4 linked regions of the Schizosaccharomyces pombe genome follow. The gene in region 4 interacts genetically with the main gene of each other region. Each region holds a gene or a part of one and is shown on either strand. Other genes may lie near its edges. The genes, in order: qcr8, ngl1, omh6 and SPOM_SPCC622.15C.

The links.
Region 1: mutations in SPOM_SPCC622.15C (region 4) and qcr8 together harm fitness less than expected from each alone (positive genetic interaction), as found in Schizosaccharomyces pombe (one large-scale study listed by BioGRID).
Region 2: mutations in SPOM_SPCC622.15C (region 4) and ngl1 together harm fitness less than expected from each alone (positive genetic interaction), as found in Schizosaccharomyces pombe (one large-scale study listed by BioGRID).
Region 3: mutations in SPOM_SPCC622.15C (region 4) and omh6 together harm fitness more than expected from each alone (negative genetic interaction), as found in Schizosaccharomyces pombe (one large-scale study listed by BioGRID).

Annotation. Positions count from the first base shown.
Region 1 is NC_003424.3:4,762,440-4,769,198, forward strand, and holds qcr8 (ubiquinol-cytochrome-c reductase complex subunit 7), read left to right. Parts: upstream 1-4,616; 5' UTR 4,617-4,670; coding exon 4,671-4,702; intron 4,703-4,891; coding exon 4,892-4,909; intron 4,910-4,954; coding exon 4,955-5,168; intron 5,169-5,271; coding exon 5,272-5,286; 3' UTR 5,287-5,467; downstream 5,468-6,759. Other genes in the region: splicing-associated factor Saf3, read left to right, coding at 1-435; cox24 (mitochondrial 37S ribosomal protein mS38 ), read left to right, coding at 640-796, 839-1,209; ypa2 (serine/threonine-protein phosphatase 2A activator 2), read left to right, coding at 2,010-3,068; prohibitin Phb1, read right to left, coding at 3,527-4,375; exonuclease Rex3, read right to left, coding at 5,468-6,759.
Region 2 is NC_003423.3:1,122,575-1,130,038, forward strand, and holds ngl1 (peptide N-glycanase), read left to right. Parts: upstream 1-3,897; 5' UTR 3,898-4,053; coding exon 4,054-4,380; intron 4,381-4,455; coding exon 4,456-4,632; intron 4,633-4,678; coding exon 4,679-4,838; intron 4,839-4,883; coding exon 4,884-4,922; intron 4,923-4,967; coding exon 4,968-5,266; 3' UTR 5,267-5,394; downstream 5,395-7,464. Other genes in the region: GTPase-binding protein Rid1, read left to right, coding at 254-672, 811-958, 1,027-1,559, 1,609-1,711; ribosomal lysine methyltransferase Set10, read right to left, coding at 1,870-3,513; mRNA processing protein Cft2, read right to left, coding at 5,395-7,415.
Region 3 is NC_003424.3:3,388,923-3,397,299, forward strand, and holds omh6 (alpha-1,2-mannosyltransferase Omh6), read right to left. Parts: upstream 5,323-8,377; 5' UTR 5,028-5,322; coding exon 4,561-5,027; exon of another isoform or gene 4,490-4,560; coding exon 4,203-4,489; intron 4,185-4,202; exon of another isoform or gene 4,107-4,184; coding exon 3,964-4,106; 3' UTR 3,769-3,963; coding exon of another isoform or gene 2,987-3,768; 3' UTR 2,828-2,986; downstream 1-2,827. Other genes in the region: sec17 (alpha SNAP), read left to right, coding at 1-405; U3 snoRNP-associated protein Utp7, read right to left, coding at 906-2,468; SPOM_SPAC959.11 (uncharacterized protein), read right to left, coding at 2,987-3,352; tRNA-splicing endonuclease subunit Sen15, read left to right, coding at 3,337-3,768; pdi4 (protein disulfide isomerase), read right to left, coding at 6,763-8,377. UniProt on the Schizosaccharomyces pombe protein: Probable mannosyltransferase involved in O-glycosylation of cell wall and secreted proteins.
Region 4 is NC_003421.2:1,426,857-1,434,972, forward strand, and holds SPOM_SPCC622.15C (uncharacterized protein), read right to left. Parts: upstream 3,994-8,116; 5' UTR 3,924-3,993; coding exon 2,250-3,923; 3' UTR 1,887-2,249; downstream 1-1,886. Other genes in the region: SPOM_SPCC622.14 (GTPase-activating protein), read left to right, coding at 242-454, 776-853, 932-1,360, 1,421-1,666; Jmjc domain-containing protein Epe1, read right to left, coding at 4,843-7,689.

The sequences.
Region 1 (6,759 bases), on a different chromosome or scaffold from region 4:
TCACTGGAATTAGAAAGGGAAAAGATGGCAATTGAAGAAAGAAGATTAATGAATTCTGAGGAACGCGAAGCCCAAGATTTGAAGGACGCTGAAGCAAGTCGGAGAGGAAAGAAAAAGTCATCTATGCAGTTCTTACAAAAGTACTATCATAAGGGTGCATTCTATCAAAACGAAGATATTGTGAGTAAAAGAGATTATTCAGAAGCCACAGAAGGGGAAGTTCTTAATAAAGATTTATTACCCAAACCTATGCAAATTAGGGGAGATCTTTTTGCGAAGGCAGGCCAAACACGCTGGACGCATTTGGCAAATGAAGATACTACAAAAGAAGGATCTGCTTGGTATGATCCTAAAAACCCAATCTTGCAAAAAAATTTGCATCGTCTCGGTGGACTTCATTCTGACAGCCCACTCTCGAAGCGAAAACGTACCTAACATCTGTATATACATAAGGACAATTTTGTATTTCATTTAGCATTAATTTTATTTAACATCACATATATATTTAAATACAACATTCTTCTGAATTAATATCAAATGTGCACCACCCTTCCTCTTTGTAAGTGTTTAGCATAAGCATACCAATTCTTACCTTCCCGCAGTGCAAAGAGTACAACACATTTTTCGCCTTGGTCACCCATGTTACGAAGAGGTGCGCTTTCCACAATATTAAAAGGTTTAAACGGCCTTTCACTGCGTAGTCCCATACCGATTTGGCATGTTTCAGCTTCTCCCGAAGTTGGGTCGAAATATAACCTACCAACGGTTCCTACAACTTCACACGTTTCATATCGTCGTAAGTAAATTAAATACTTCTATTTCTAACTTCATTGCGTAGAAATCGCAAAAGCAAATTTCTTTGCTGGATATCGACCTTTGTCAGCTAATCAAATATGTGTGCCTAAAGTTGAGTCCAAAACACAAGTTTCGCAATCGCAGGATGAGGAAGATCAACCCCAGGAATATGTGTTATCTTTAGAGGATGGCTATTTGTATGCTCAATCATTCTCTGCATCTGGATCCGTAACTCAAACTCAACCCGCTCGTATATCTACTCAAGTATGGGAACAAATATGTGATAAGCTGATTTCTATTACACCTTTAGATTTGACCAGTGTCAAACGAAAAAGAAAATTGAAAATGAATAAACATAAGTTCAAAAAGCGCTTACGCCGACAACGAGCACTTAGGAAACGTCTAGGAAAATGAGATTATTAGAACTTATTTTTACTCGGGTTATATTTTTAGGTTGGTTGGATTGAGAGTTTAAGCTGTAAACAAGCATTTTCAAAATGGCTGCAAGCATTTATGAGTCTCTATTTTTAACTTGGATATCAGTACCTCTCTTTTCTTAAGAAACGTTTAATCATTTAATGTTTACTTCAGGCTTTTTTAACAAGGAATACATTTTCTCTCATGTATATTCTATCCTTTAATGTTCCGGTATGAGACAATTAGGTCGGTGCTTTTTTCTTGCGATAAAATCATTAAACAATCCGCGTTTATTTAACTATTTTCAAAAAGCGGAGCACTTATTTGTTTATGCCGGCTATCTCCTTCATATCAATTAGCTTCCCATGTCTAGTACTATTACAATACCTCCATCTTTGGCCCTTCCTTTTTATATTTTTAAATATTTGTCGATGGCTAGAATTAATGACATGTACACTTCATGTGAATCATAAATATGTTGTTGTATATCAAGCAATTAATAAACGCTTATTACACTGTATCTGTTTACACATAGAATAAAAGAACACATTGGTATGAAAAATAACTTTAGTAGTCGAAATTATTTCCTTAAAACAATTTTGAAAAAAAAAAAAAAAATTTCTACATTTCTTTCTTTAAAAAATGTTCTCACTGATTATAGCTAATTACAATAATGAAATGTAACGTACTGACGACTGACATAACAAATAACAACATAAGGAATATTGAAGAGCGTCCAACTGTATAATTTTTAAGGCTTTTGTTAATCTTGTCTTAACCGATCAAGTTATGCCAACATGCTTTCTAGAGAAGAGCAAAACCGGTGTTTCGTTCCTGTCCGACGAATTTTAGACAATGAAGACTTAAAATTATTTAAAGAAGGAGATGCTTATAAGTTAATTGATTCGTTTATTTGTGATCTTGACGAAGCTGTGAAAGACAAGCCTATTTCAGCTTCAATTCCGCAAAGCTCATCAATAGAGCATGTATTAAATATACTAGATCGAGTTGGAGAAATTAAACAGGAAAATCCTGCAATTGATAATATGGGGTCGAGGTTTGGCAATCCTGCATTTCAATCATTTTACGATCAGGTATACATTGAAACACCAAAGTTGCACCAAGTATTTGGAATTGAGCATAATGCGGCGATGGAGGCAGGTCGATATTTTTATGAAAGCTTTGGAAACAGAAAGCGAATAGATTATGGAAGTGGTCATGAACTTTACTTTATGTCATGGTTACTAATTTTAAAGCAACTAGGCATTTTTACTAAAAATGATTATCCAGCATTGGTCGTTCGAGTTTTTGTTAAGTATGTTGAATTGATGAGGTCTTTGCAAATTTTTTATACTCTCGAACCAGCAGGATCTCATGGTGTATGGGGATTAGATGATTTTCATTTCCTCCCTTTTTTGTTTGGTGCAGCTCAGTTGGTTAATCATAAATATTTGCGTCCCAAACATGTTAGAGATCCAGAAATTTTGGAGATGTGTCGCGCTGATTATATGTACTTAGGTTATGTTTACTTTTTAAATAAGTTGAAGCCTTCTGTTTCACTACGTTTCCATTCTCCAATGATTGACGATATTTCTGCCGTAAAGACTTGGTCTAAAGTCAACGAAGGCATGATAAAAATGTATAGAGCAGAAGTTTTGGGTAAACTTCCTATAATGCAGCACTATCTTTTTGGCCATTTAATCCCAGCTTCACCTGGGATGTCTCCTGCTCCCCAAGACGGTGATGATTCTGAGGTGACACATGTTCATTCTCATTATGCTGACTGTTGTGGCATCAAGATACCAAGTGCGATCTCTGCTGCCAAAAATAATGGAAGTAGGATTCCGTTTGATTAAAAATTCTCGAGGGAAAAAAGGCGTTTTTAACGAATCTTCACGAATTTATGCGATACCCATATTTGTCTGTTTACTTTAAAAGTAATATCTAAAGTCAATAAAATTACCAACAGTACAGCATATTTGTTTATTTCATTATGCTAAAAAAACTCTACATAAACAATCAACCCTAATTTTAGCAGCATTAATATAGCCATTTCATCAGCACAAAACCCAAAATAATTGTCGTTTTAAAAATAAGGTGACAAATCATAATTTTGAGTTCTGAAATAAAAAAATTTGGAAATATTTATTTTCGTTAAGAACCCAAATTTGTCAAAATCATAATGCGTGGAAAAGTACAACTTTTATATAACATCTCTTTAATTTTAAAGGGATAATAAGATAAAGCTGATATGTTTAGGGGAGCTCGAATAAACCTTATGAATTTGCTGCTAGAAGCAGATACATGGAATGAATTAAGGATTTACATTAAGAAGCAACCCAGAACCACTGGAACTTTGGGCATTAGAACCAGCTCCAAAGGGAAGATAAGTGACCTGTGCACCTTTATTAGCAAGTGCAGTAGCCACCTCTTTACTTGTCTCGAGACGACGAATTTGGATTAAAGCGCCACCGGCTTTATCAAGTGCTTTGGAAACAATATCAGCCGCTTCTGCTTCACCCTCAGCGCGAATAACATTAGCTTGTCGCTCTTGTTCGGATTGTTCTACTAAAAATCTAGCACGCTCGGCTTCTTGTTGAGCAATTTGTTTTCTCTCTACGGCTTTCGTAAATTCTTTTCCAAAAGTCATATGAGTAATGGATACATCTTCCAACCGAATTCCAAATTCGGTAGCTCGTTGAACTAGTTCTTGGCGAATTTTGGCAGAAACTACTTCTCTTTGAGTAATGAGCTCTGCTGCATCAAACTGAGCAACTACGGATTTTAAAATTTCGTTTCCAATAGAAGGTAAGACACGCTCATCATAATCTAAGCCTAAATTTTGGTAAATTTGAGGAAGCATTCCAACTTCGGGACGGTGTAATACACGCAATGTTAAAGAAACCATCTGTAAATCTTTACTACCCGTAGTAGTTGCGATATTTCGTGGACGTGTGCGTACATCATAAACAATTGCCTTTTGTAACCATGGAATCAAAAAGTGTGTGCCCTCCTGAACAACCTGTTTCTGCACACCCGACAGACGGTCAAACAAAACTGCTCTTTTTCCCCCCGGTACATCGTAAATCGAAGATTGTAATAGAGTAAATCCAATACCTATTGGTATTGCATAACGTGCAACTCTCTCCAGTACTACAGCCATCTCTTTAATAGTACGTTGAGCGCTGGACTAAAAGACCAAACTGAAAGGGAAGTCCGTTTGAGCAAGACTAAGTATGACTTAACTGCAACCTCTAGGAAAATCTATATTCATGATTAATAAATACATGATCTTATTATTTAGAATTTTAATAGTAAAACTAAATAAAAATCTTGAATAAAAAACCAAGAATTTGTAAACGTCTGAATTATTATTGGTCTAGCAGACCCGCACACTTACCCTTAACAAACATCTGACTTTGTAACGGCAATCATCAATATATTATTGTTTTAACAAAATGGGTGGTGCTGCTGGAGGAAAAACTTATTTGTAAGTGCAACTTAAAGCAGTTTCTGTTTATAATGGGTTATATGACTTTTCTTTGACGCTTATAGCGTGAGACGGTGGACACAATTGGTGTTTATTTCGTAAAGCCATTTTCGTCAGCGAAGTTATATACATTCAAATAGCTGCTGAGAATATCATTGAACGTTTTTATTTATACTAACACATGAATAGAGGATGGTGGGGCCATCTGTAAGTGCTATAACAATTTGATACATTTTTACTTACTTTAATAAGAGGTGGACCTAAACAAAAAGGAATCATAACATATTCCCTTTCCCCATTTCAACAGAGACCAATGGCCGGCTTCTTCAAAACTTCTACGCAAAATATGTTTCGTCGCGTCATGACTGAAGGTCTATACGTAGCAATTCCGTTTGGAATAGCTTACTATATTTACTGTTGGGGGAAGGAGCGTAATGAATTCCTCAATTCCAAACATGGAAGACACGTAAGTTAATGACTGAAGAATCGATAAGCAGCTATGGTTTGCAGCATTTTTCTATACTTCTAAATTGTGTCAATAATTGTCATTTTACTAATATGTGGTTTAGTTGGTGGAGGAATAATGATGAGAATGAAGTATTCATTTTGGTAGAAGGATTTACAAAATTCTTCCCTACCCTTTCCTTATTGGGTTTACAATTACTATCTCTCTCCTCTCATTATGCTTAGTATCAGAAATCTATATATCCAACAAAATTACTTTGTGATATGATCTATCTCTTGAATTTGAAAACATTATTACTCTTAGTTTTGACTTTCATTTGATTTTGTCTTATAAAAGACAAGTTGTAATGCTGAAACAGCGTCTTCTTCGCTATCGTGTGTAGAAGTTTGTATTGTTGTTCCCAGATATTTTTTAGTCAAATATTTTAAGGAATATCTAAACGGCGGGCCTCTGGCATGCGTAAATAGAAGAGCAGTATCTATGACACGTTTGTGAATAAGCCTCATCGCATTCAAATCGTTTTCTAAACCATGTCCTATTAAAATTGTATTTTTATTCATGCCAAGTTCCTTTATTTTAATATACATTTGATCCATGGTAATTCCTGATTCTAATTCTTTGGCATCATGTATCCCGCTAAATCGAGTATTGAGACTCAAAATTTTGCCTTTAGGCTTTATAAACACATCCATAATAATGCTTTCCTTTGCTACCACCGTCAAACGAGCCAATTCCATCCCGTTCGTAGTGTAGCATAGTTCACAATCTAACGCGCAATGACTTAATTGCTTGCTATTTGTACTGTCTGGTAAGTAGGAAAATGGATGAACGCTAGCAAGATACGGAAGATGTCGGTATTTGAACACATGGTTGTCTTCTATAATACAACCAGACGAATCGCCCTCTTTTACACCACAGCAAGTGTATGTACGAATCTTCTCCCCCCCTTGCTTTTCACGAAACAGTTTTCCCCAATGATATGTACATGGTCCTCGAGGATCCGCAAACCGTGTACCACATCGATCGCATTCACGAAGTTCATCTGGCGGGTTTACTGGTGCAACGTCTCCAATATTATATCCCCATAGAATCAATTCTTCTTCCGAATGAACAAGTGACTCAAGTTTCTCATCAGGAGTTGATCCTTGTATTTCATTTTTCTTCGGAGCTTTCTTAAGAGATAAAATTTTAGACTTGCAGGAGGAACTGTATATCATTTTACTGTTTGCAGTTTCACAAATATTTTTTTCATCGAGAAGAGCAAGCATACTACTTTCTGCATTGGAATAGCCTAAATCCTTGTAAGACTCATATAACAAATGTGTCATTCGTTTTCTCAGTTCATGCCCAGCTGGTGAGTTGGAGTCATATTTAGGAGTAGGAATGATATTGGAAGACGCTCCTTGAGAATCTGAATTAGTACTAATGGCTGATACAAGTTGCTTCTTCTTATTAGGAACGATGGAAATGGCATCATTAAATAAAGAACGCTTTTTTAATACAGTATTTGTAGGTAGATGCGTCGTTTGATGATTCAACTGCTTGCATTTGTAAGTTTCTAGTACGTCCATACGAAAATTCTCATTCTTGG
Region 2 (7,464 bases), on a different chromosome or scaffold from region 4:
TTTCTCTTTTTTTTTTTCGAACATTCATGTGCTATTTTCCTTCCCTAAGTCTAGGGCCATAGCTTAGTATTGTACATATTAAAAATTGGAACAACCGTTCCGCGTATTAGCCTAATTATTGAATTAATTCCCGATATTGTCCGTTTCATGTTCCTGTGGCTTGTTCCTCGGACGCGTCAGCGTGCCATTTTAATATATACCAGCCCTCCCATTTCTATGTAAATATACCACACGACTATTCCTTACACACATTATGAATTCTCTACGTTCAGTAAAACGGCTTTTAGGTGCTCGCTCTTTGAGCTCTGATGGGCTCTCTGAAAGCGTTAATTCTTCTGATCGAGAGGATAGCTTGAGCTTTCAGACTCCTTCAACCCCTTCTGAAGATGAAATGCCACAATGTTTTGAAGATTTAATCAAGCCTCAAGTTCTTTCTTCAGAGGCCTCAAAGAGTTTACTTTCCCTTAATGAAGGAATTAAAATGGAAATCGTGTCCAGTTTACAGCAAAAAGACCAGAAAAAGCGAAATAAATTAATTGCTTGGATGCGTAAAAAACCATGTTACGAGCAACCTGACGACTTTATTTCGTATATTGTAAATACAAAAATTGACTCAATCGATGAATCTATCATACACAAATTAGCTCTACTTCTCAGAAACGAGCAAGTAATGTATGTTTACATTTTGTGCAGCTACGTGAATCAAAGTGGTGATGCTTAAATTATCTTTTTTTTTGGCACTACTATTGTTTTGATTGAATGATAAATCATTCGTTTATTTTGAGGTTTTTCATACTAACTGCAATACAGATGGGTAGAGAAGTTTATACACAACGGCGGTTTCGGTGTAGTATTTTGTACAATCGACAAAATCTCTCGCCTTGAATGGAGAGAGGAACTGCACGATTCTATACTGGAGCAACTTTTACTTTGCGTTAAAGCCATGTGCACTGTTCAGGTATGCATGTGATATACATTTAGACCTATGTCTTCATTGCCTTTGACAATTGCTAACGTTTTTCCTAGCGCGGATTGGAATGTTTATCTCAATCCACTTATAATGTCGAGCGATTGATTTCCCTTTTGCTTTCAAAGAAACAGCCATGTGATTTTGTCGTAAGGGAAGTACTCGTTCAAATAGTTCACTCCTTTTACAAAGCTCATCTCGACAAAGAAGAAGGTGCAATGCAAGTTTTTTCCTTGTTTTCTATTAAAGACGATAAGGATGAAGAGGTTGAATTCTTAAAAAACGTTCGAGTTGATCGACCTTTTCGCCGTTGGATTATCGAACTTGAAGATGTTAGCCGTAATGTCTTCTGGGTGTGGAACCACGATTCTAATGTCATTGATTTGGAGAAACAATATAATCAAGTGTACGAGGCTCCATTGGGGTTTATTGGTGGTATAGAAACCGAAGCCACCAGCTATGTTGCAGCTCACATCCATCTTATTAATGAATTACTCGAAGGCTTACCTTTAGAGAAACGTCAAAGAAAACGTTTGGAACTCCAGCTAAGTGGATTAGAAAGAATCATGGGGTTACGGTTTCGAAAGAGCAGGTAAGCAATTTTTTTCAATATTTATATAAGCAGGCACTTACAAATCTAGTCAAAAATTCCATAAGAAGCTACATGAAGCCCTTCGTGAATGGATAGTGGCTGCTAAAATTGATGATTGGCCATACAAACTTGTGCAAACTGGATCAACCTAACTTTACCCTAATTTTCTATGCACTACAATCATCCTATGTATATAAAAGACACTAAACACCTTAATCATTTATCAAAATACGTCTTGTCATCTACTTTACCTAACCCAATATTGGAATACTCATCGTACATTATATATTAATCGCTTAATTTTTATTTATCAATTATGGGCAATAATAAAGGTAAATCCAGAAAAGTCGAGACTTTCGTCATTTACCAATTGCAATGCCCAAGAAACATTTTCTTTATTAAAATGCTTGGATTCCCCAAATACGTTTGTAAATTGTTGAAAAAACATTTCATCCAAGATTTCAAAGACTTCAACACCTTCTGGATTAGCAACGGCTGGATACCCTTCCACAAGCATACTAATTGAGAAAGGTAATTTTTCAGAAATAGATAAACAATATACACAAATCAATATCATTAAAATATCCTGCTCATCTGTAGCGACCAATGCTTCAGCATCGGTTGAACCATAGAGACTCTCAATGGCATGCGAAAGTGGTGCAAACAAAGGATGTTGCAAGAGGAAAATAGATATCGAATTAAGGATGAGATATTGCAAAAGGTTTGGAAGAGGTTTGTAAGTTTTTTGGAGTGATTCTTCCATATAATTTTTGACATAAGTGATGGAGTCTTGAAGAATATTAATCTGACTATCGCGATAAATTTTGGCCCAAACCTGCCTTTCAGAGGTCGGAGATACTTGCGGATTTGATTTTAACAAAAGGTCAGCTCTAGAGTCGATGTACATAAGTAAAACTTCCAAGGACTTAATCTGGCCTCGTAAAGAAGGGACATAAGAAGCTAGATCACCCGTCAACAAATGCGCTGTCAATTTTCGAAGTTCAAGAGAAGAGGCAGTTACAACTGCTAAACATTGAAGAATCTTTTGAAAAATTTCCTTATCTGGGGACTTTGGCAAAAAAAATACTAAATTGCTCAACTGAAATTGGCAATCATTCTCAAGAATGGCAGCTTTTTGATCTTTATGCGGTAAATCTGGATGAATAGCTACTTTTAAAGTCACTGTATCAAATGGGTTATCAGGTAAGCAAAACCCATAGCCCATTAGTAACTCTTCGTTGCCCTTTGGACCGTAATTATTAAACAGCTGGTTGCCTTTTGCAACCAACTCTTGGGAAATTAATTGAACAGATTTTTCATCTTGAAAATCACTATTCCACAAAATTGGCTGCTTTGGTTTATGATTCAGACTGTCAATGAGAGGAAGAAGAATGGGAGTAGACTCTGAATCCTTATATATTAGATTGGATGAAAAACATCTAGATGAGAAAACAGTGGCAGACCATATATACAAATCGAAGGTAAATCTTTCTGTAGGAGATGGGTGCAAACTTAATGCTTCTTGATACTCATGCTTCCAGATATGCAAACGCTCCTGAGCAGCAGAGTACGCATTTGTGGATATCAAAAAGGCGTTATCATTTTCGTTAAAATAAAGAGGGGTGTTGAATGTTTTAGGTAGATACTCAATGTACCCGTACCACTTACTTTGTATACCCTTCAAGCTCTCCAATGCTAAAAATGTACAAAGTGTTATATGAGGATTGCAACTCTCAAAATTTGGATTCAATTTTTTTAATTCCTCTTTCGCCTTGTTATATGTTATTGCATACTCAAAAGGGCAGGATATAAGTAATTGATCAGGTGCTATATCGTTTTGTGCAACAGCAATATAACTACCAAAACAAGCGTTATCGTCTCGACTTTGGATAAATTCGACAGATTTATGAAGCTTGCAGCCATTTTGCAAGGCTTCGTGTAGTAATTTCTCCATTAAAGTAGCGTTCGTATAAAAGAAGTAAATTAGAAAAAAAAAAAAATTGTAAAATTCCAATAATCAAACCATCAAAACTGATTTTTGCTTTTTAAAAATGAAAACAGACAAAAGAAAAGTGGAAGATAAATTATACCATAAAATTAAAAAGTGGTAGCAGAGTGCCGCCTGGCTTCGCCTATTGCTCAAAGGTAAGGATTGAAATACCCTGAAACCGCATTTGGGTGTTTCTCCCACAGTTTTTAATGCGGATAACCGCCATTTGTATTGTTACAAAAAACTGTATCGATGCTAATTAGTTTAAAACGCTTGTAGTAATTTGCAATTGATAACAATTTGAAGTCTTTATACTCATAATTAGACTACAGGAAAGCGTTGTCTTTTAGAATTTAGCGTATATTGTGATTCGTGAATACATTACCCTCATTTTTTGTAAATCAATCCAGTTTTACAAATACCTTCTTTAATTTTTTCTTTTTTTTTCTTTTTTTTTGTTTACAATCGTTAGCTATTTTCTTGAAAATAGGACATTTGCTGAAAATGGATTTTCATGCGATTTCTCAACGTTTCATTGATATGATGAGAAGCAAGAATTCCCAGAACGCTTCTCAGCCTCCAGAGACATATCCCTTTTATCATGAAGTACGTCAAATGTCACAACACCCGTGGATGTATGAAGACCCAGAGTTGCAGGATTATGCTCTTAGCATTTTACCACTTGACAAACTATTTCAAGATGCTTCTGAATTAGAAAAAGAGGGAGATGGATCTTGGGGTTACCAAGATTATGTGATTCAAGCCTTGTTAAAGTGGTTCAAGCGAGAATTCTTTGTTTGGGTTAATCAACCACCTTGCGAAAAATGTGGAGTATGTTTTATGATTGACGGTGTAGTCAATTTTTTGTTCTTTATCCGTACGATATAGAATATTGACAATGTGTAGGGTGAAACTCATATGACAGGCAACGGTCCCCCCAATGAGGAAGAAAAATGGAATGGAGTCCGCAACGTAGAGCTTTATCAATGCAATGTATGCGGGCATAATCAGAGATTTCCCAGGTATAATCGCATTCGAGCATTGCTTGATTCAAGGAAGGGAAGATGTGGAGAGTGGGCCAACGTGAGTTAAAAATATTTATAAATATATAAAGCTAACATTTTCTTAGTGTTTCACTTTCCTATGCAGAGCACTTGGATCTAGAGCTAGGTGGATTTGGAATGCTGAGGACCATGTGTGGACGGAAGTCTATAGTAATAAACAGCAACGCTGGGTGCATGTCGATAGTGGTGAAGAATCATTCGATGAACCTTTGATATACGAACAAGGTAGAGTTCTAACTCCTTGAAAAACTTGATTTCTAACAGCATTAGGTTGGGGAAAGAAGATGTCATATTGTTTGGGTTTTGGGAGTACGGAAAAGGTTTTAATTTTATTTGTTACTAATGCAAAAATAGTCGATAGTGTTCGCGATGTATCGCATAGATATATTCGTCACCCTGAGAATGGTCTTCCTCGTGATCGATGCCCCGAATCTGTCCTACAACAGGCTTTGCATGAGATTAATATTGAGTTTCGGTCCCGACTAACTGATTCTGAACGTAAGGCTCTAGAGGAGGAAGACAAACGTGAAAAAGATGAACTTGATGGTTATATGCGTCCTGTTTCCCAGGCCACGCCCACTAACACTGACCTGCCAGCAAGACAAACGGGGAATGTTGAATGGAAAGAGAAAAGAGGGGAAGCAGGAAAATGATTGTTTCATAAAGCTTTACGTTCCGTTTCTATTACCAAACATTTATTAGTTATGTTGTACATGAATCCTTTCTAGTTACTAGCTTTTTTTTTATGTAATCCTAATTAAATTTTTTTTTCATACATTAGTTAAACGACAGCAAGTGCATCGTAAACCAACTTTCGAATTTCAAAAAAGCGGTTGCTCAAACTGCCCTCAACGGATATTTTACCACCACTGAGTTTTCTTACGGCAACAGCTCCCCCACATAATAAAACACCTTCTCCTTTCAATTCAGCAGAAATTCCTTGATCTAAAAGTGCTTTACGGAGATAGGCAAGCCGAATATTACCTACCAAAAGTGGAGCAGCCCTGGGCGCTCTTGCCAAGTCTGATCTTAAAGTCAAGGCGTTAAGAACAGGAAGTGTCTCTTTCTCTTCTTTTTTCTCTTCATTCCTTTCTTTATCACCGTCCTTTTTCTCAACTTCTTCCTTTTTATCTTCTTCTTCAGAAGGTTTAGAGATCTCAACCTTAGCCAGCATATGTGAAACTTCGCAATTGCCAACTTTAGTCCAAATTAAATTTTTAATAAGATCATCTGCTAATTTAAGACTGAATGCATTAACATCGATACTAACATTAATGATTTCACCATAGTTGGGTATGTAAACGTCCTTGGTAAAAGCACTGAGAGAGGCGCACGTTTTCTTCATATCTTCTTTCTCTTCAGTTGAAGCATGAATAAGGACAAGTCTTCTAGGATTTACCTGTGGTATAATAGTTTTCAAAGAACGTCCATCATGCAGACCCTCAATATCTATGAACTGAACTTGACATGAAACTCGGATAGTTTTTTCATCTGTTATAATTTTAGAAGGAACTTCATCCTCATCCTCTTCTTCCTTTTTTTGTTGTAGACCATCGTTTATTTCGGACCATTTTCTTTTTCCGTTAGAATTAGATAAAGCATTATCATCTGAATCATTTTCCAATTCCAATGTGTTAGCAGGTTCGTTAATCATAGAAAAGTCTTGATGTTTGATAATTTCTCCATATTCATCTATCCTCCTTCTCTTCTCAATGTATGGAAACATTTTATACTTGGTATGTAAAGCTTGGACAGCAGGATCTCTCAAGTTCAAATCAAAAGACTTTCCCATTAGGAAAGCAGAAGATCCAAGAGCCACATGGGGAACTTCTGTATTCAAATCTAAGTCGTCATCTTCTGAAGAAGATGATGATGAAAGGTCTTCATCTAATATGGTTCTGTTACGAAATTCCAAAGCGGTATCTTCCGCATCTTTATTTCTCTTGCTGAACTCAAGTTCTTGATACGATCGCAATTCTTCCCCCTCCAAAGGTTCTTTCGTTTTTATCTTGACAGCTTGTTCAGCATACAAACCGACTGGATGAGGAATATCACGTTTCTTTTTACTAGCACGTTCCCAATACCTGATGAATTGGTTTGCAAGTGAGTTTTGAGGGCATCTGGATCTTTGTGTAAACAGTATTAAGTCATTTGAATTTTCAGACATCAAATCTAACAAAATTCGCTGAGAGAATCCGCATTCCAAAGTCAACGCGGTAGCGAGGATCACTTTGGGTCCGGGTCCTATGTGAGAAATCTGAGAAAAATCTGTAATCGTATTTATATTTCGAAACTCTAATAAGTTTTCGTTGATCCCAAAATCACGAACTATATTATCACCCATCCATTCAATCATACTTTTAGCATAGTCAATAGTTTTTGTTGATGTAGGGGAAAGGAATAATATAGGAAATGGTAGAGGCGGTTGACTAGCAGACCAATGGTTATCTAGAATACAACACAATTCTAATACCCTAGAAGCGGCATCTACAGGTAATAAAACAGTACCGCCCTTCAACAAAGAAGACATAACAGACTCTATGAAAGCTTCGTCACGCTTTTTACGGGAAGGGATAGATACGAGTGAATTGTTAGCATCAGTAATTAAAGTATTTGGTCGATTGAGAGCTTCTAATATATGGCCATTCGAATATAAGGCAGCGCCGTTTAGATGTTTATCTTTAGAATGGTTCCAGTCAACAGCGTACAGAACGCTTTCTGATTCTTTTATAAGACTCCACAAAGTTCCTCCCAAGGTATGTCCAGCATTATAAGCAGTAATGGTTAGCCCACTACATTTTCCTAAATCATGAATTAGTATAATCAAAAGTTCAAAAGACTTTTTTCACAA
Region 3 (8,377 bases), on a different chromosome or scaffold from region 4:
AAGGCTTACCTTAAAGCGGCCGACCTAGCTGGCCTTTGCGGTGAATATTCTTTAGCTATACGGAAATTTGAGCAAGTTGCCAGAGCAAGTGTTCAAAACAATTTGCTAAAATGGAGCGTTAAGGATTATTTGCTGAAGGCCGGGTTGTGTTATATGGCTAATGGGGATGAAATTGCTACTCGTAGAGCTTTGGAACACTTTTTAGAAATTGACCCGTCTTTTGCCTCCACCCGTGAATATCAGTTGCTTAAAGATTTACAAGATACCATCGAAGCCTCGGATGCTAACATGTTCGCTGACAAAGTTTTTACCTATGATCAATTGTCGAAGTTGGATTCTTGGAAAACTACGATTTTACTGAAGATTAAGAGCAGTATACAAGAAGCTGAAGATGACTTAACTTAGTTTTGTTTGGTTTAAGTTTTCAATCACGTGCCTTGAAGTAAGTGAAAAAACACTTTCATTGGCTTTTCGAATGCATGGGTTTTCCAATGTCAGTAACGTTCGTATTCATATTTGTTTTTTTTTAAGAACCTTTTTTACATTATATAACATTTTTATTTAAATTGTTTTTTATTTTGTGGAATTAAGCTATATATATGGTCAACTTGACGAGAATGATTGCAACTTTTGTTTGCTAATATTATAGGATTTACTGGTTTGATCTTTCAACTTGTTGTCTACAAATGGAAACAAAGAGAGGGTTAGGATGATCCTTGTTTTACATTTATATATGCTTGCACAATGTACAATTTTTCAAATAGGCATTTTATTTTTTTTGTGAGACATATTTAATACAATAAATCCGTAACCCTAAATACCTTATACATCACATAGTCATATGTAATTGGCAAAATCTAATGCAAATATTCTTATTATTAGCCCAAGTATTATACACAACCGAATTATTTTTTGGAAACAAATCTTGATAAAGCATATCCCCATTTTTCCCGTTCCTCTGGAAGTTTTTGCTCGCGACGAACACGCTGAGCACGCATTTTTTTCTCTATCTCTAAAGATTTTTCAACTTTGAGACGACGTTGGTCAACAACGTTTCTGGCATGTTTGCGTAAATATCTTCGTAAAGCAGAGTTTTTACCACGGGCTTTTGCCTTTGGTACCCATTTTTCTTCAGGCGGCTTTTCTTCCTCGGCTTCAGCCTTTCGAAGCGACGGTGCAGCTCTATCAACATTACCGATAAAATCAGCATTCAAAGAAATCATTTCTGGGCGAAGCTTCTCCAAAAGTTGGCGAACTTCAGTTTCTTGACGTTGTTTTCGAGAAGCAAAAGGATCGTTTTCATATGAATCATAATTGGGTTCACCAGATCCAGGAACAATGATGCTTTCGAATCCCTTTGCATGTCCGATACCTAAAATATCCTCATACGGACAATAATGAAGATCAACAACGGATGAAGAGGGAAGCAGATGATTCATGTATGGAAAATTTTGTTTAGTTCGTAAGGCATCTTTCCAAATCGTAGCATGTGGTCCCCATCCAACGGCTAGCAATCCCCGGTCACTGAGGGTTAAGCGCTGAGCAGGTGTAGGGGTGTAATAGGAGTGAAGCTCTTTGTAAGTTCGAAGGTCCCAAACTTTCAGTAAACTATCGGCACCAGCGGTAACCATATATCTGCCATCACGATTTACTGCCAAATCACGTACAGGCCCGCGATGAGTAAGCATTTTGACAAGAGGTGTAGTTGAAGATGGAGACCAGAGGGTAACCTGGCCATTTGCATGACCAACATGTTCAACAGCGTTATGGGGATTTTGATGTAATACATGGCTAGCACCCATTCCGGTACGGTGTTCTGCAACCAATTGTCCAGTAGAGACATCTTGGTATTTCAAATAGCCAGCATTGCCAATACTGGTCAATAGTAAGTGATATGGCAAAAAATCTAGAGCATTCACTTCGATATGCCGCTTCAAACAGTGAATTTCTGTTCCCATATTATCGTAAACGTAAACATACTTCTTTTGTGCAACAGCAAAATATTGATGGTTATGAAACCATTTAACATCTCGAACGGTCTCTCTTAAATGTAGCTCTGTGAGTAATTTACCAGTACGCCAGTCAAACGCGGAAATATGACCTTTTCTTCCACCTAATAAAATCATTCTTCCATCTCTTGTATAATCAAATGAGTAACCACCAAACTTATCCAAATCCAAGGAGAAAGACTTTGTAGCCGTCTCAAGTGCAACATTAGGAGCCAGTTGATCTTGACGAAACTTGTATGTCCTTTCAAGGCCCTCGGCTTCCAAAAGACCGGGATTATCTTCATGTAAGATTTCGGTTTTCGCCAAGGAAGACTCAACATTCTCAATTCTCTCCTCGATTTTCTGAATATTGCTTCGAAGCTTTTTATCCTTGATTTTCTTTGGATTCAGCTTGCGCCCTCTAGAATATTTTTTTGTAGAAGCATTAACATCCTCCAAATTCAACTTTTGAGCAGACATAATGCTAACTAAGTAAAGATATTAGTGAGGAAAAAAGATTTTTTTTTCTTTTTAGGCCTGATTATACAAAAAAAATGAAGCAGTTTTCTAATAAACAATTCTTTCCAAAATTTAGGTATCTCCCTTAGTCAAAAAGTTAGAAACCCTTCAATTTTTACACAAATGTATTATGTAAACGAAGTGATAGTTAAAAAATTCAAACACTACGTTCGACTTCGATTCTATGACCCAACAGTAGGTTTAGGTTGAGGGCAGGTGGAATGTAGTTCTAGGAATAGGATTTGTGCGTTCTTATTGTAAAAAATCAGAAACTACTACTAACACAATTAGATACAAACCACAATTATTTACAAATAATACAAGTATAATAAAATAAAATTTCATAAAAATTAAGTATGCAAAATAAAAACAAGAAAATTTTAAAAGTAAACCCGAAACCCAGTAAAAACATTATAAGTTCAGACAATGGCCAATGCCAAAACTGCGAAATGAACCATGAAACGAAAATAGCTCAGGAATTAATTCTCCTGCTTTTTGGTCATGGAAAGAAGCTGGATCGAATTGGATATATCGCTCATCTTCGAACCGCTATTATGAGCACTTCTTAGTACGCTCTGCGTAGTGTTGTAATCATCAATACTCTGTAAAAGGACGTTTTGTTGGTATTTGTTGTTTTTAGAGGAGTTTTTGTTTTGTTTTGAGGATTTCTTAACTCCTTTTGAAGTCTGTTTAGGCTTTTTTGACTGCTTGTTCCTTTTCTGTGCCATTTGGTTGAAGTTAAAAGTTTTATCACGGAGGCGATAATTCATTTTTTCAACAAAATTTTCCTTCTCAAAAGTAAAGATATATTTATTATAAACAAATACACATGCAACATAATACATTTCTCCCTAACGATGCTGTAGAAGAGCAAAAGCAAAATCCATACTATGGAATACTGAGAGCAGTGGAAACCGACTTAAGGCTCGGTCAACGTTGGTGTGAATTAAAGGTACATGTTCTTGATATTGACTTAAAAACAAAAAGGCCTTTACTCTCAGGGATTCCCGTAAATGGACAGCTCAAAGACAAATTGCAATATGTTCTGCCGCTTTACCTCCAAGAGACAATTTCGATCGAGTTTCTGTCCTCTGTTTTCGATTCTATGAAGAAACTGAGCCTTCCACTTGTAAAGGATGCTCGAGGTCTTTCTGGAGATGAGTTTTTCCTATACCTGGGAATCATGTGTTCTGACTCAACGATAGTATATTACAAGATCACCGATGGACTTATAAAACCAAGGCAAAATGATGAAGAATAAACACATGATATATACATATTTATTGATTAGGATTGAAAAACGGAAAGACAACGCTATAATTTTACCACTACCAGATTAATTTTTCACTTCAAGTGTCTCAACGTTTGTAAATGAAAATGCACATATTACAATAACTTTCATAAAACAAATTCGTATGAACAAAAATTTTCTGTAAAGCTCATTCATCAATTAATATCACAAACATGCACATCTTCCTGTGTATGGAATAGTTTCTGGGCAATAATGAACATCATCGTTTAAGAAAAATCCCACTGATTCCATATGATTAGCACGCGCTCTTAAAACACCAAATGCTGCTGAAAGGATATCAGACTCGGCTAAATAAATGTCAGCAAAAAGTACAACGTGAAGCATTTATATTAGAAACAGGTTAAATAAAGTCATTTCCAAAATTGAAGAAGCAATTTACTTACTCCAGCGATGATAATATGTTCCTCCTGAACCAAGCAAGTAATTAATTAGGTTGGTGTAGGTCTGATTATGCCGAATTTGCTTTAGAGATAAAATTTCATTAAAAGGCCAGTATTTACAATAGGTGTAGTTGTTACTATAAACCCAGATATTGCTGAAATCTCCTTGAGTGTTTAAAATTTTGTATTCTTCAATTGCCTCTTCCATAGCATATATACCAGAGTGTTTACGTTCACAGACGTGGTTTGTAAATACAATGTCGCTGTCTTTGAAAGTAGAAAATATATCTCTGAACAAAAATATTAGTTAGGTTTCCTGAAAAAGAAGAACGAAATAAACAAGTTTTACCGAGTTTCTTACTTTTTTTCTTCACAAACCAATTTGAGCCCGGGTTCTATTCTCCAAACATAATCGTATTCCAATTGAGGATGATATAATAAAGATCGAACTACCCAATCTTGAAAACTGTGAAACAAAGGAGAGTATACGTAAGATAGATTCTCTTGAGCAAGTGCATCTGCTCGTTGTTGATAAAGTCGATTGTTTTCAACTAGGGGTTTTACTTGAGAAAGATCCCAATGCACTAAGTAAGAGATAGTTAGAATAAATTGTAAATGATTGGTATAAGTTATTCCCTTCGTACCGTATTCACAATGACCAGACGCAATCGTGCTTGTCGTACTCATAAAGTATTCCGTAAACTCATCCATGCCGTAAAACGTCCAAGGATAATGAAACCTCTTATTAAATCTATCCTCTACGCTACGCATCGTGCGCAACACTTCCCCAAGTTCAGCATTACTAGAAAACAGAATTAGAAAGTACATCTCAAATGGCACCGTACGCGGTAAACATCAGAAAAGAAGCACTCAAATTGGAGCTTTGAGGTTCATTAAGAATCACATATACATTGTTGGGTTCATTTACAGAGAATCCATTCAACCAGGTAAATACAATTGGTAGTATGGAAAGTAAAAGTTCGTAAAACATAATGAAGCTTAAACACGAGCAGAACTTTCCCTGTTATGAGAAGTAACTAGTTCAACTAACGTATGACTCCAAAAGTAACGCATAGAAAGTGGATTTGAAGGAATTTAACTGAAATTGCCTAAGACAATGGTTAAGGGCAAATGTTAATACCCTGCTAGAGATTTGACCTTAGAAAAGAGAGCTCTTTGAGTATAAATATTTATTTTTAGCAAATCAATTTTTGTATACAATGTTTGATGGGTAGATCACTGAAAGAATCTGCTAACGAGCATAATCTTATAAATGACATTTGCATAAGCGTACTGATAGTCGCTATGTCGAGCTGTTATTACTGTTGGAATATTTAAGTTCTATCAAAGGAATTATAAAATTTGCATTCGTCTTTTATAATGGTTTTTAATGTCTATTAAACAATTCATTGTTGCTGATGAATGTAAACAAAAGCAATAAGTTTAAGTATAGGAAAGCTTCAGCTGTTCTAGAATACAAACTCAGTAAAATGTTATAAAATAATATTTCATAAACCCAAGTGGCATATGTATCTTAAGACATTTTCCCAATATCTGCAAACTAATTCACTACTTTCGATCAAATTATATACTGTGGTTGTTCATAATGCACAATCTTATTTTAACGAGCCTTTTTTTTTGCTTTCTGGAAACACCAAAATTCCTAGACTACTAAGGGTAAAACAGTCACTAGGGTTAGGGTTGTAATTTTCAACAAACTATATAAAGTCTCGTTTGCACTTCGTTATAACCTATCATGAATCTGAAGTTACATTGTTCAGATTCTTTCGAGAATCTTGCGTGTAACATGGTTGGCGTGTAGAGGTTGACAAGAGTACAGACAGGGCGGCGATTGTCCTTGCAGTTTCGACTGCAGGTTGAGAGTTGGCGTCTTGCCATGAAAATTGACTAAAGGATGCTGCGTAGCCTAGCCAACAGATTCTAAAACGATTGGAGTGATCCTGATCCTTCTCCTTTGGAGAGGAATTGGTTGATCCTCTGACAACTGTATATTCCTAAATCTTTCGCTACATGATCTCTGGATCCTTGCAGTTGGGTAAAACCATACAGTTGACATTTTTCATTTGGGTAGTTCTTCTTTTATGATAGTTTAATCATGTGTATGAATACGATTAATTATTTTATTACAATTTTACTTTGTCATTTAAAACTGAATTTTTTAAACTTCCAATTCGCTGTTAATGAACAAATAAAAATGGGCGTTGTGATGTTTTGATGAGAAACAGGCTGACCTGTCGATGTAGTTTTCGTTTGTACAGCTTGACCGTTTGAGGTAGGTTGCCAGTATGGTATTTTGTATACTTAAACTGAATTTTTAATGATAATATTCTCGTCATATTTTGAGGTACTTTGTTTTCGTGTATAAGTCCTTGTCAAATTAAATGGACTACAAAGTTTTTAACAATCAGTTTTGTGGGCTGTTTGTAGCAACATCACAAGTGTATTAGCAATAAATGATTTAGAAATGCTACCCTAAGAGAGTATATAAAAAAAACCTTTCGCTCCTTTTCATCGTTTACTAGGTCGTTGAATTGTCAACATTTCAGTCTGATTTGGCAATTACAAGCGAATGATAAAAACCAAAAACTGGTTGCTTGTTCAGCAGTTGTCGACGCCGACGGGAAAGCCTGCTAGCTGAAATAATTGTCAGGATGCTCAATATTAGTAAAGCAATGAGCAAATTAAAAACTATAAGTTTGTATCTATTCCTGTAATTGGGGCTACCGTTTGGACATAGGCCCGGTGCACGCAGTTTTTGAAGACGAGATGAGTTAGGGTGCTCTAATATAATCCTTAATGTGGAAAATAGAGAATCTTCTTCTAACGTAAGTGAGTTGCCGTTTCTGTCACTCACATAGATTACGCCTTTCGAGTGATCTATCACAAACACTGGTGGTGTGATAGAATCTACATAAACAGTATGGTCCAAATTTTCCACAATCCAATCCAACCATAAAGAAGAATCTAACCATAAAAATGAAACTGACTCAGTATAAGTAGGATGTGATATCTTCGAGTACTTAATTCGCTTCACTTTCCTCGCGAACCCTTTCTTTTTAGCTTCAGCTATCGCACTATATTTCTTAATTCTACTCCAAACTATATCATTTCTTTGTCGTTGCATTTGAAATCGAAACCATCTCTTTCCAAGCCGCAACAATTCTTCTTGACTTGAAAAAAACTGTTCAGAATCTGGCTGAAGTAAGGTCAAAACAGTAAGCTTTCGATTCAGCAGACTGTGGCATTTTGTCGGGGTTAGCTCTGTAATAAAAGGGGAGGAAACTATGTTAATCCACTCAGTAATTCGTTTATAATCTCGAAACTCACGGGGTGTAATTGCCTGATAAACTATTGGCATTCCATTGCGAACAGCAATAATGCTAGGCTGAGACTGTGCCCCATATTTATTCGCGAGCGCCTTCGAATTACAAATGTATAATGGAGCAACACCAGCAAGCTGTAATTTCAGACGTTCAATGATACTGAAATCTTCTGAAGTAGTTGCAAAATCGTAAAGCACCAGAAAGAAAACTGGGTGAGAGTTTTCGATTGATTCAATGTCCCCTTCTTCGATCTTTATTGCTTGGTAACTTGCCACTTGGTTTGAATAGGATAGCAGCTGTTGATACTTGAGAGGTCCATTATATTGTATGGAATCGAACCCCTGAAACACCCTGAAGGTAGGAAACTTTTTAATATGGAAATGATTACACATCTCCTTTTCTTCGTCGCAATTAACTTGCGCCATTTTTAATCGCTCGTCGGTATTACGAGTAATGCTTGACCAAACAGCTTCCCAATGAAAGCAATCTTCACAGTGCTTCAATGAAACAAACATAACGAATGCACGAGTTTTAGACATAATTTCATTTCCAAAAAGAAACCTTTTAAAGTTCAATGTCTCCAAAGGCCTCAAAATACTCGAGTGTTTCCACGATTGGTCTTCTTTCAGTTCAAAAGCAGGATCTGTGCTACTGGAATCACTATTATACTCACCATCGTCACTGAAACAATCTGTTTCATTTTCAGCTTGCTCCAAATCACAATTACCCAAATGGCTTTTTACAAATTGTCGCGCGGATTTTGTCGTAATTTGATTTTTTTCAAGAACGTGTCGCATCCACATACCATTTTTTAGAACTACTACCTTTGGATGA
Region 4 (8,116 bases):
CAGTATGGATCAAAAACAAGAAAAAGTTGAAACTCATAAATGCATTCAACTGCACGACATATTTATTTCCTTCATGTTTTGATTTTATATACTTGGAATACGTTTCACCAGATCTTTAACGTTTTCTTACGCACTTCCATAAAATCTCACACCATGGTGAGACATGAAAATAACGAAATTTCAAAGTCACTTAGAACAAACTACAATTAATGAGTTGGTTGTTTAAATAATCTAATAAAAAATGTCGTATAAATTAGACCAACTCACTCGTCTTCCTGAAAACAAGAAATGTTTTGATTGTGATGCTCCAAATCCACAATGGGCATCTTGTAATTTGGGAATCTTCATTTGTTTGGATTGCAGTGGACAGCATCGTGGTTTGGGAGTCGAAAAGAGCTTTGTCCGCAGTATTACCATGGACAATTGGAGTGAACGTCAAGTGAAGATGATGGAGGTAAGCATCAGGATTGATACGGGCTATTGGAGTTTGTTGGTTATTTTACCAAAAAAAAAACATATATATATAATAATTCATTTGGCTGAGAGGGTAGCGCTATTGATCTGCGAGTTTGCTTGCCGCTATTTCGAATTTTTTCCAAGTCATTTAGTGCCTTTTTTTGACAAGAATAATGTTTAATGTTAAAAACAAGTACATGACGCGCAATTGATTATCACCTGAAGTTATAAAATGCAAGCTCACTATAATTTCATCAATGACTTGAAACAACATATATAGCCCACATTTGTTGCATGCTCCTGACTAACTTCTATACAGGTTGGTGGAAATTCTAATGCTAAAACATTCTTGTCTACAGACCCGATGTTTTCTGCTGCCGGAAGTATTCGTGAAAAAGTATGATCTTTGAACCTTCTATATTTTTTCCAGTTTACCTTATTTTGATTTTATTCACATTGACTAACACATTTTAAGTACAATACCGACATTGCTGAGGACCTACGACAAAAAATTCGTGCCGAAGTAGATGGTGTCGAATGGGTCAAAGTTGATCGTCCTAAGAGCGTTTCCTCTCATGCTTCTGTAACTTCATCTTCAACTGTTCCAACTATTCCATCAGTTTCAAAAGAAGCAAATGATAAATATTTTGCAAAGCTTGGTTCCATTAATTCCCAACGCCCTGATGATTTACCCCCTTCACAAGGAGGTCGCTATCAAGGGTTTGGAAGCTCTAACTCTGTTAATCCCAATTCTTCTGCTAGAAATAACGGTGGCTCTTTTTTGGACCAATTATCATCTAATCCTGTTTCTGCACTTAGTCATGGTTGGAACATGTTCTCCAGATCTGTTTCCCAACAGATTCAAGACGTAAATAAGTCCTATATTCAGCCAGGGATTACAAAGGTACAAACATTTTATTGTATCCAAAAAATAAAGTTTCTGTTGTACTGACTCTGTTTTTAGGTTCAAGATCCCGAAACAAGGAAGGATTACATGAATGCCATTAATAATTTCTCTAGTAACGTTCAGGAAGGTGCTAAGCAATCATTTACACAACTTAAATCCTTTTTGGATGAAAATGTATATTCCGAAAACCCCCAAAACACCCGCGGTACTTATGATGCGGAAATCGACTCTCCTTATTCAGCTCTCGCTGCCTCTCCTCCACCTGAAGACTATTCGAAAAAGAATTTCGATAAGCACGATTGACTTTTTTATTATTAAACTCGTAAGCAGTTTGATATGTTTCATTGCTGTTAGGAGTGCCTCGTCTATCAAGCATTCGTCAGCTAAAACATAAACGAAGAACGCTACCGATAAAAAAAATATTGCTACTTCATTAGAATTATCTGACATTTGAAGCTTCTTCAAGTATAATACATGGGGAACTGAAAAAAAAAGTTTGTATATATTGAAGACGGAGTCTTCTTGTTTATTTCTGTTACAAAAGTTTCATCGTTTTAGGCTTATAGTTCAAAACAATGAAAAAAATGATAATAACATATTTTATTTTCATTAGCATAAGTTGAATGCCGGCTAAATTTTAAGAAGATAACCGGATCATGTGCTTTCTTGAATAAAACCAATGACTTTTTTCTTTTTTAGTCGACGATGCCTAATCGGTATGTAGAGTGGATTTTAAAAGAAAACAGGAAAGACGAAGATATGAGGATATAGGCATTGCCGGTCATTTTCCAAAACAAAAATGCTGGTCATAACATAATTAAATCAAAATGCTTAAAAGCTCAATGATAAAAATCATTCTAACAAAAGACAATAAGTCATTGACCCATCAAATATGGTCATAAGGCGCACTGCCTCCAGTGTCTAAGTTAGACAACGGCTGGCTAGTAGCATTGGCTGATTCGTTACTAACTGGTACGTAATACTGATTTGGGTCATAGTAATAAACGAAACCGAAGGGGGGAGTTGAGACCTGACTAGCAGGTGAATAAGATCGTAAAGTATCGGCAGCAGGATTGGACATTACATTCATATCACTGCCAGAAAATGGAGGAGGCATATAAGGATAGACCGCGGGAACGGTGGAATCATAATTTTGAGGAAACGACCAGTAAGTCGGCATAACAGAGTAGGATTGATATGCAATCGGACTATTGGCAGTAGGTAAAGGGGTTGTGTACATGGTTCCCGGTGCTGCAGGTGCATTACCAGCGGGAACATTGGTCATGGATGGCATTTCACCGGTAGTCATATTCGCAGAAATATAAGCTTGCTGAGAATCATCTCTTGCACGTACATTAGAGGGATATATGGAAGTAGGGTACGTAGCGGAATCAGCGCTAGGATGCATATCCACAACAGGAGCGTTAGAAGATCCCGGTGTGGCCGAAGGGGACTTTGAAGTTGATGGAAATTCCTCTTGAAATGAGGGTGAAGGATACATTTTGTCATTTGTAATAGGAAAATCGTAAGGGACAAATCCAGGAGGAGCAGAATGAGTTGGTACAGTGGCTGGAAGAAAAGCCATATGTGGATGGGAAGAGACGTTAGGGGAAAAAGGAATAGGCGGAGCTGCAGAAGGTAAAGGGGAGAAAGGTAAGGGATACATTCCCATAGGAGGAACATTCATTTTATGTTTGGGTGTAACCAGTGCTGGTTGGGATCCAGGTATACTGACGCGAAGAACTTTGTTCTGATGGAGACGGGGATTATGCACGACATGGACAATTTTCTTTTTAGGTTGAAAATTGATGGCTTTCATAGAAGAGTTTCCAAACTTTACACGGATATCGAGGATCCTTGACGATTTACGATACCCCGAATTTTTTCCCTCTTTCCCTTGGGAATTAGGAAAAGAGGTGTTATTAAGAGGCTCCTCAAAATACTGCGTATTAGGAGTATAACCACCTCGTTTGTAGTTCTGATATCCATAAGCCATACCAGCTTCCCTTCTGGAAGGCATGGATGAGGGAACAGATAAATACTGCGGATCCGCTTCCAAAGGTTTATACATTGAGAAGGGATAGATATTGCCGGGAGCATTATTTAAACCAAAATATGGCATGGAGTCAATTCCCCCGGTAGCGTTTATAAAATATGTAGAATTTTGTATAGGAGGATAAAAGTTTTTTCGGTTATTGTTATAATCATCTCTCTTGGGTTTTCTTCGATATCCTTGAGAATTTTTGTAATACGTCCTGTTGTTACCGTAATGGGTTTCTCGTCGGCTTACACCAAATCCATTACTTACAGGTAGCTCATCAAAGTTCTCAGTCTCCAAACCAATTTCCTCGGCGGTGACTTTCATATTTCCTTCTTTTCGCGATTTAATATCTGTGGACGCGTCATCGTTCGATGGAACTTCAGGATTTTGATTTTCCTCTTGAACAATTCTTTCGACCGCCTCCTTCTCTCTTTCAGCGCCCAATCGTTCAAATTCCGCCATTTCTACCTCAATTTTCTCCATTTTCTTATTTAAAATTGAAGTTTCATCTTCATTCATTATTTTAAGTCAATTCAAAGCAGAAATATTCAATTCCGCTTGAATTCCAATATCCGTCTACTGTATTGTTAAGGCCGGGTACATTGCTCGCGTATGGCAATGAATACATAGTGCATGCTTTAGCTTGCGGACCGTAAAATGTAAAATAACATTACGCGTTCTAACGCATTGATAAGATTACTTAGCAGGTTGCAATGCGGAAATCTTAAGATAATAGAAATCTAGAATATTACCATTGTTTCTAGTAGTATTAACAATTAAAATAGGAAAATAAATTAATTAAATAATATTCAAAGATGAAACGACCGATTAGATTAATAGAAACGTGGCTTGTAGTTAGATCGCCGGATTATTTATTTATATGAGTTCCAAAAAAAAAAACAGAAAAAGAGTATTTATAGAATCATTATATCGGGTAGTATATGTACATATTTGAGCACAATTCAACAATATTAGCACATTATAAAAAAGTAAGGCTGGTAAATTGGGATTTGGATGGAAAACCCTGAAGCGTCGTTGCATCAGCTGAGATGGATAAAGTAGACGAGACGACGCCAATAGGAGACATTCATATTAAAAAGTGTGTTGTAGTATCCGGCTTTGATACAATCCGTTCAGGTTGAGTGTCCCTGCGCCGCTTCATGGGGATGTCCACGCTTTCAATGACTCCATTGTGTGTTATGTAGTCCATAAATCATTTTAGGACGATCGTAGTTTAAAAGCAAACAACGAGTCAAAGTGGATTGATGCTCTTAATCGTTTTATAAATAAAAACCCAATTAATAGAAAAAAAAAGAGTCTTAATTATTTGATGAAACCTTCATGATATACTCATAAAATGTGAACTACTCAAGAATCATAAGCACGTGGGGATAAATATTCAATGGTAGCCGAAGGAAATAAAAAGTGCCGAGGTACTTTAACTAGCACCTCTGGACCGAAGCCTGTGCCCCCATTTTTCCCTAACAGGAGAGTGATCTTCAAAATCATAAATGTTATTTTCATTTTTCATGATTCGACGTTTTTTGATGCCGACATTTTCAGCTTTTGTTAAGTTGACCTCTTTATTATTATTCCTCCCATTCGAAATTCCACTCTTAGAGCTTGCAAAGTGCTGATCTATATATTCTAAATCATTTTTTCTTCGATACGCTTTCATTTCTTCATGTTGTATGTTATATTTTAAAGGTACCTTTGTAGTATCTGGTTTCTCATTTTCCATAGAGAGTCGTTTGTAAGAAAACGTATGAAGCAGGCTATATTCGGCTGCCTTTTTTTCTTTCTCACCAACAGAAAATTCTAGGGAATTTTGAGGAACGACTTTTTGAATCTGTTGTTTGAGATTTGATGAAGAGGGGGACAACAAGTCGTCAAGTTGAAAACTGTCGTCATTGCTTGAGGGCGAAAGTATCAAGTTTGAAAATTCTGGTAAAGAGTCTACCCTAGTGTCTACCCTAGTGTCTAACGCCGTGGATGGAGTCATGTCGGTTTGCGATATATCAACCTCTCTTTCATTCACTGCATTCAGCGGTTGAAGTTCGAGTTCATGTATTGAAGCTTCAGCATCAGAATTCGCCGTTTCCAATAAATTAAAGTCGTTATAGCAAATAGAATCACTTGGTCTAAAACCTTGATCGCCCCAAGTAGTAAATAATGTGGTGTCCGTATTTTCGCAATTGGCTTCACCTCCAAAGTTAAACGTTTCTTTACTCAACGCAATATTCTCAAAATTGGAGTGATTCAAAAAGAAGCTTGGTGTCCAATTGATAGCAAATGAAAACAACGCCTGAAAGATCAACTGTTCGAGAACGAATGACTTGATTTTAGGACGAACGACAATGTCCTCACGAAACGTAGTTGCATGTAAACTTGACAGAAAATTACACCTAGTATTTTCTCGCTTCTTGAAAGCCTTAATTATCGAGCGCCAGCTGGGTGCCTTTTTAGTACTCTTAATCCTCTTTTTTACTAACTGAAAAGAGCAATTATTCTTTCCTGTTTGTATTTGAGATTCTTGACATTTCTTAATGATATTATGATTAGTTGAAATCACAACGCCAATGAAATTAGACTGATGCTGATAAGAGTTATTTGCAGGTTTAGGCCCCGAATCTATAAGCTTCGTTTGTAGGTGTGAAAAACAATTGCAAGATGGGTGTTTAGCGCTACGTCTATGATGGTAAGTAATCCAGGCGCCAAACTTTTGTACAAAGTCAACACAAATCTCATCCAAATCCGGAGGTACCATCGTATATGCTGAGTTATAGCCATTATTTTTTGATATTTTTACGGGTTCATTATAAATGTCTATAATTATATCGCAATCTCGTAAAATCTGCGCACGAATATAAAGATAATTAAGCAATTCTTCAAATCCATCCAATTCTTGTTCTGTAAACGCATTGATATCAAACAATCTACCAGTTTCATATTCAGCAATTATATCATCAATTCCATCACGACTCGAATTATCTGGGAACGCAAGGTAAAAATGTATAGCTGTGTACCACATTATGCTCTCGAAATATGGATACTGATACTCTTTTTCAATTCCCAATTGTAGCTCAAGATTGTAGATTGACAACTGGGGATAGATATGAAGGAACGTTAAGAAATTACCAGCAATAGAAATTGTATCACAAGGTGTCACAACGGCATAAATCCATCCTGAAGGAACCAAAATTGTTTGCTGCGAATGAACTTCGACGCAGTAGCATACATCAACCATATTGGGTAGAAACTTTTTGTCGCTGTCATTTGAAGATGTTAGCCAGGCTGTATAAGCTTCCCAATTCTTAGATGTTCCTGGAATAAGGTAAAATATCTTACATCCGTCTAGAATATTGTAGTAAGCTGAGGATCCACCAAATTCAATATGGAATTCAGTATACGAGTTTTCCGCTGACATTAAGCAGTAAGTATCAACATGGGGATACTCACCCAACGCAAAGGAACCAGGAGGCCAGACAGTATTAACCAAATCGAGATCACGAACGATGTTAGGCTTCCGGACGTAATAGGCAAGTTTTGTTGTAGAAACCTCTAAGCTCAAGACGTCGTATATTCGACCACGTTTGCTGGGCTCGAGGCTCATGTACTTTACCCAACTTTCCATGTCCATTTTATTTGGAATTTGTTTTTGTGTCACAACATCCACAAGGGCGAGCGGACAATCATAACCAATTAAAGTAGCGATTTTACTCAGATTTAGTTGCCGCGTATTTTGTGTATCAGACGAAGGAAATATTGTGGGTTCATTAAATCCAGTATCCCTAAAATAACTAAAATTTACACTTTCGGCAGGCATACGACGAAAGCCGTCTTGTGGAAAAGACATGCCAAGTAATCTTTGATGGTTTTTATGAAGATTGGGATGTCTTTTTCGACGACGATTACGACTAAGGCATCGTGATCTTGTTTTGTCTACAGATTGTCTCTCACTGAAGTGAGGCTGTGCAAAGGAAGGTGCATCAAGCAAATATGTATCCTGAAATTCTGTATCTACCGAGACAGGTGAAGTATCAAAAGGATTGACGTATTGAGGGTTTATGCAGGATAAATGTGATTTTGTCGCAATAGGAGTTGACTGGTTTCCGCACCATGAAATTTCCTCTTTCGAAGAAATAAACGAGTCTATTGAGTTTAAAGAGTTTTCTAAAAGGGAAGAGTGTACACCAACGCAGAGAGTGCCTGAACCACTCAGGTCATTGCTAGGAATATCAATGTCTTGATTTATAATGTCATCGTATTCAAGCCAGGAATCCATCTTAAAAGTCCCAAAAATTAATTGCTTACTAGCAAAAAGGTAACTATAAAATTGCGATGCAAACTAAGGAGATTCTATGGCTGTGTTCTTTGAAAAAAAAAATGAGTTTAAAACTGCTAGTGACTAGTAATATAGCATTACATATAATAACAGAAATGATAAGTATCCAAAAAAAAGCAGGCAAACTCGTTAGATTTGAGTCTAACTTTTTCTTCAAAATGCCAATAAAACCGAACTCTCAGTCAACAATAATGATGATCCTCTAATTCAACCTGAAGCTTTGTTCAAGAAACGAAATAATATCAATTATAAATAAGCAGTAATCCATAGACTTCAAAACGTCCACTCCATAAGCTTGCGTGTCTCTTTTATACGATTTAGCACAAGCGCACTTCTATTGTGCAGCTTTGGAAAGATGAGCCAATTC